2 linked regions of the Kluyveromyces lactis genome follow. The protein of the gene in region 2 purifies or fractionates together with the protein of the main gene of each other region. This does not show direct contact. Links are inferred from orthologs where the notes say so. Each region holds a gene or a part of one and is shown on either strand. Other genes may lie near its edges.

Region 1 (3,332 bases), on a different chromosome or scaffold from region 2:
ACAACTTACAACAATTAAATACAGGAATTCCACCATCGTTTTACATTAAAGAGGATGATATCATCTTTCCTAGCGAAGACGTCCCATGGAAATGGGGGGATATTATAGCATCCTCTGAACATGGATTCTTTGGTGCAGAAATGCACGTATGGACTCATGATCAAGTAGATTATATTGCAATATCACAGTTGCTCTTCAATAAGGTCTACATATTCAAAGATGCTGGCAACTCTGCACTAGAGGTCTGGTTAATATTGGAACTTGACACATTAGTTGACCTTAACACTGTCAAGTCCTCTATTGAGTTTGGTAAGGGTGTTCACTTCTCACACTCCCGGAAAAGGCTATTTCTTTCTTCTCCGGGCAGTTTTAATGGCGCTGGTGCTATCTGGAGTGTCTCTATGTCAGAAATGAAGAGAACAGTTGAACTTTGGAGATCCAAACATTTGCTCATAACCGCTTTAAAACACCTTGAATTCGTTAACCCCGAGCAAAAGAAAAAGGGTTGGTCTAATTTCGGCTCCAATTTGGCTGAGTCCCCATTAGATGACTTATTAGTTTCCATTCCACAATTTGGCTACGGTGACTTACATGACCTTTCGCTAATCGGAGCATTATTGATTCATTAGAATACATCACAATTACGTGAAATTTTTCGATATATGTACGCTAATTATCAATATTTACAAGATACATATGCCATTATAACGTCTATCGTCCGAGATATTTCCTGGTTATTCGGTGGAATCGCTGGTTTTTTTCTTCTCAATTCTGCGTTGCAGCTTTTCCTGCCTTTCCCGTTTCCGTTGCTCCTTGAGAGCTTTTTTATCAACTCCATTATTAGTATTTACAAGATTTGGAGTTACTTTCATAATTATTCTTTGATTGATCAAACCTTCTTGTGTAATCTGTGATGAATATTCGCTGATTATTTCGTTTAGCTTCTCCAAAACCTCTTCCCTTCTTTTCATTTCCTTTTTAGAAATAGAAGATTCCTGCATCGCTTCTAATTCCTCCTCATCTATAGGTGACAAGTTAGAAGAGTCTTTATCATTAATGAAAAGAGCAATCTTGCTACCTTTTTCCAAATTAGAAACAATTTCACTACATTTCTGTTTTTTCAAATCATAATCCGATATTTGCCATGAAACCTTGATTGATTTCCAAGATGAATCCGCTTTCGAGTCTGGAGAGCGACGGCCAGTTTTCTTTATATTGACACCCAATTTTATAAGTTCTTCTTCTTTAATTTTAGATAGTTTGTCGGAATAATTCTTTAATGCCTGTCTTGTTGGCACTTCTTTGACAATGGGTAGACGAACATCTCCGGACGCAGCATTATCGATACTCACCATAGCTATCCCATTTATCTCAAGGTTAACGCCCTTCAAAAAGTTCCTAATATTGGCTTCTTCTAGCTTGCTAGTTTCTGGATTGATTGCCTTGATGTTACCCTTTGAATTTATTGCTAGTATTTCCTCTAGCACCGAGTTGGCAGCTGCCTGCTGTTTCTCTGTTCCACTATTCCATCTGAAAACAAGTTTTTTATTCCGTTGATCTTTATTACCGTTTCTATGGCGGTGTTTATCACGATTTTTATGTGGAGAATTGTTACCGCTCTTTCGATGTGTCGCTGGATTGTATGTTGGTAGGTTAAAAAGAAGATCCGATACAGCCCTTGATTCGTTCTGGAGAACCCGATTATTGCAAAATAAACGTATTGAAGAAATGCTGTATTTAAAAGTAGTTCTGAGCATCTGTATATAGTGGTACTTCATTTATTTCAGCCCAACGTACCACATTTCAAGGCAATTCTATCATCGGAGATGACTTGAACTTAATCAAATCAAAAAAATACAACTGTCTTTCATATTAAGATTTTGAGATATTCTGACAGAGAAGGGAAAGCGTTGATATCTGTCACGTGATCATTTTTACTAATATGTTGCTGGTTTTGCCTAGAGACTGACAGCTGAATAGGTTCAAACAAAAGAGAACAATAGAATGAAAATAAAGTCGATGCGAAATATTAATGTATTAAACGATGCAGATGTGAATGTAAGGATAAACCTTTGAACTATATATGTACGACAAAATGATATATATGTCAAAATATACTAATTGTATCTGAAATTTTGAGCATTTCAAAGAATAGAAAGTGCAATAGATAAAAGTCACTTTGTAATTTTAAGGAAGTTATTTTCCTACTATGAAAGTCCTTGTATTACTATGGTACAGATGAAGGTAGTTTAGTCATATTTCATCAGTTTTCTTCCTCCGATTAAATATCTCTTTTCAAGTCCCCACAAAAAAAGAGTTTTCTTAGTTTAAGGAATTCCTTCTGATGAATTTAAAGTAAAATGAACGATTTACTTCCATGTTTAAATTATTTTGTTTGATTTTGGATTGATTCTGAAAAAAGTTCCGAACGCGAATCTGTTTAGCTCCTTTATAATTCAACACCCATAACCATGGCTAACAATGCCATTCTGACAAACAAACCATATCTCATTTGTCTGAAGTAAGCTGCACGATGATCGTAGTCAACCTCTTCACGAATCTCATTAACACGAGGTAGTGGGTGCATGACCACCATCTGTTGTTTAGCATGAGACAAGATCTTATTGTCAACAATGTAAGTGTCCTTGAGCTTCAAGTAATCTTCCTCGGTTTCGAACCTTTCTTGTTGCACTCTTGTACAGTACAACACATCGGATTTGGAAATGATTTCAGGTGTTAGTGTTTCACTTTCAATACCTAATAAGCCAGAATCTTGCAATTCTTTACGCAAGGCATTAGGCAACCTCAATTCCTTAGGAGCGATCAAGTTAATTCTAACTTGGTAATGTTGTAGCAAACGACACAAGGAGTGAACTGGTCTACCGAACTTCAAGTCACCCATAAAGGTAACAGTGATACCGTTGACAGTACCCAATTCTTCACGAATAGTGAATAGATCCAAGAAGGCTTGAGTTGGATGTTCACGAGAACCGTTACCACCGTTGATGATAGGAACAGGTGAGTACTTGGCAGCAATGTGGGCAGACATTTCGTCTGGATGTCTCAAGACAATTGCATCAGAGTAACAGGCTAATGTTCTGATGGTATCTTGCAATGTTTCACCCTTCTTAACAGAAGATGCAGAAGTGTTAATGTTGACAGTTCTACCACCTAAACGTTCCATAGCAGCAATGAATGAAGATGATGTACGGGTTGATGGTTCGTAGAACATTGTAGTCAAAACACGGCTCTTCATGACGTCCAAAACACCTTCCCTTTCAACACCAGCTCTGAGCTCTTGAGCAACTGCGAAGAGAGCATGGAAATCAGAA
Region 2 (3,183 bases):
GCGCATTCTGTTACAGTATTTTGCTTATACACAATCATTAATTTACATCTTCTTTTTCTTTTCCTTCCCCGTCAGGTTTCGTGAACCAAATATGGGAACTTTATCATGTACATAACGAATTATGTTGGTCAACGGTCTCTATTATTTAATCAAACTCTATTTTATCATTTTTACTATGCAACTTCAAGGCGTTTACGTACGGTGCCTACAGTGCACATTGTAATTCCTAAGTTTACATCTATATATACGTTCGTGTGTGTCATCTGACTCATATTAGGTTCCATCCAATTATTTTTTCGTTGTCATATATATTTCATTCCATTAGTTATGTATGACCGATAGAGAACGACATGGTCAAAGCTATTGGGGAAAACAGAAAGTGCTAAGCTCGATTTAACTGAACCATTATGAACACCTCGCATTCGCAGGAACCTAAGGACAGAAGTGTGAAAATTTCGAAAGCATTGGCTTATTTGCTGAGACATGGTGCTGTGAAGGAAAACTTGCCTATAGATTCTGATGGTTACATTGCATTGGATAGAATACTGCAGCATAACAGACTCAAAAGCTTGAAAGCAACGTCAACAGAAATACAGCATATTGTTGCTAGTAATGACAAGCAACGATTTCATATCAAAACTGATCCGAATACAGGGATAATGTACGTCTGTGCAACACAAGGACATACATTGAAGCAAATTGCTCCATCGCAACACGTTTTAAAACCAATTACCAACATAGAACAACTATCAAGTAAATTGGTTCATGGCACCAACGTATCAAACTGCATTTCAATTCTTCACTCAGGTTTCATCAAAAAAATGTCACGGAACCATGTTCATTTGTCTCCCGGCATTACTGGAAAAGATACGGATGTCATCAGTGGAATGAGAAGTTCTAGTAACGTTTACATCCATATCAAAAGGATCCAGGAAATGCTAGACAGCCTCAACCTTGTGAAATCATTAAATAATGTTTACCTAACTTCTCAGGACATACCGTTGAAATTTATTGATTTCATCCAAGTACGGAAAGGCAGATCTGCAGCATCTAGTGAACAACTTCAACAGCTAAAAAAGTTGGCTACAGAGATGAAAGTTCCAATCGAGATTATCTGAAACGACTTGATCGCTTTATCTATACATATATATATCACCTCTTAATAATTAATTGACTTGTTTTAGACTTTCCACTGACAACATCAATTTTTAGACGAGGCATATCGCTGTATGTACTCGCCGTTGTATTAAGTTCATATCAAAACGTCAGAACCCACCGAATGTTGTATTCCTTCTGTCATCATAAGAAATTTAGATCACGTGTGTTTTTATCATTTTGAACGCCTTGAAAATTTTTGATCTTTCATAAAACCTATGAGAGTGCGAAACTCGTTTCAGTATGATGAACTTGATTAGTTCTTATGGTATCACGGAGATATTTAGGTATAGGGTTGTAATAAACCAGGTAACGCTATATCAAGTTGTGATCTGTTTAAGTGTGTGACTAGCATTAATATATTTACTTAATAATGCTAGCTTCTACATTCTCTAAAAGGGCTTATAGCTCTGTCTCTCCGGACTTTTTAGCATCAGTTTTGCAAAGAGTGAAGGAAGTTCCTATCAAGGCAAGAGAACCACGTAAACCAAGATCTGACAGAAAGGTGAGGTCAGCTGGGAGGGAAGATAAGAGACAAACAGCAAGATTTGATGACAGATCCGGAGGAAATAAACCCAGGGATAATAGACAAGTCCGTAATGGTCAAGACCGTGGTGGTAAAAATTTTAGAGAAAGAACACAAAGAACGGATACTAGAGGAACCAATGGCCCGGTAGTACAAACAGGTACGGCTAAAAGACAGACACCAAAGATTACCGGTACTAATGAGTATAGTGAGATTTCAGGCAAAGTTCAAAATTTGGGTACCAGACAGAATCGTAGAAGCGATGAAAGGAAAACTCGTAAAACCGTTCCAGGGTTGAAAATTTCCAGTAATTTGGGATCGGAAAACGTTGTGCAAAATATTCACAACTCGGCTGTATATGTTCCACAAGATCCAACACCGTTATCGTTGCTAAGATACAGACCTGCTCTGGCTCCAACTTTCAGTGCAAGGACATTCAGATATGCAGTTTCAACACTAAAAGACGCCGACTTCCCTGTGCATCGTTCATTGAATGATGGTGTCACAATTAATGGAAAGAACGTCAGTAAGCGTATGACAGCGAACAAAGACAACTTTGGTGAATACGTGCCAGCTTCCATTTTGAAATTGCAGGTGGAACCGTTGACAAAAAACATCCAAATTTCTCCGGATCTAGAAAAACTTGAGCAATCCGTCAAGGGTAGTTTCCACATTCTCAAGCCATACACAAAGAAGGACTTTGCCAAACTAACAAAAGCAGAAGACAAAAGAGAGCAACTTCTGCAAAATAGCGAAATTGTGAGAAAGAGTTTAGAACAAAGCAACTTGGCTTCAACTGAAAAAGAACTTTTGCAAAAAGTCTGTTCCGGTTTGGCACCAGTCTCTGAATTGACAGCTTGATTACAAGCCAGATCGCCTATAGACAAGATTAACCTCTATTTTTCATGTATATATTTTCACAATGCACTTAATGATATATCACACTATTTCACAGTTCTAAACAACGTTCGATATTGTTTATATTCTGAGTACGATGCCTTAAAATTCCTTTCTTAATCTGTAGATTATATGTTGATTCGTCTTTTCGTCTGAGTAACGGAAATAGGAAACCCGATAACACTGATATTTGAATGGTTGGGGGTATTTTTTCCAAAATTTCTATAAGTAGCCCAGAGTCGTTTATACAACACGTATTCTTGTTAAGGAATTGACTAATGACCCTAGTATTGTTGAGACTTAGATAGTGATCGATAACTTTCAGCACTACCTTATCGTTGGCTTGTAACAAGGACTCCACCGTAGCAAAATCATTCCGTGATAAATATATATCAAGTAGTTTTTCGAACCCGATCTTTTCCTTTAATACACTGATATCTGTGATCATGATTCGTAGAACGAAAGAAGCATCGATATCATCAATAATAGAACCTTCTTTTATATTTAAAGCCTTTTCTATTTTCAGAAGCTTGGTCCCTACATCGAAGCAACCCTCATATTCCTTTTTCTCACCCAGCTTATTTTTCAAATACTCTTTGAAAGGA

Evidence for each region.
Region 1: the proteins of RSM28 (region 2) and AIM23 purify together in Saccharomyces cerevisiae (affinity purification with mass spectrometry; 3 studies listed by BioGRID). This does not show direct contact. The link is inferred for Kluyveromyces lactis from reciprocal best matches to the Saccharomyces cerevisiae genes RSM28 and AIM23.

What each region holds. Positions count from the first base shown.
Region 1 is NC_006041.1:1,376,545-1,379,876, reverse strand, and holds AIM23 (Aim23p), read right to left. Parts: upstream 1,779-3,332; coding exon 735-1,778; downstream 1-734. Other genes in the region: KLLA0_E15401g (uncharacterized protein), read left to right, coding at 1-629; URA2 (bifunctional carbamoylphosphate synthetase/aspartate transcarbamylase), read right to left, coding at 2,450-3,332.
Region 2 is NC_006039.1:1,053,378-1,056,560, reverse strand, and holds RSM28 (mitochondrial 37S ribosomal protein mS46 RSM28), read left to right. Parts: upstream 1-1,528; coding exon 1,529-2,542; downstream 2,543-3,183. Other genes in the region: TPT1 (tRNA 2'-phosphotransferase), read left to right, coding at 408-1,118; CORVET complex subunit VPS3, read right to left, coding at 2,631-3,183. UniProt on the Saccharomyces cerevisiae protein: Component of the mitochondrial ribosome (mitoribosome), a dedicated translation machinery responsible for the synthesis of mitochondrial genome-encoded proteins, including at least some of the essential transmembrane subunits of the mitochondrial respiratory chain.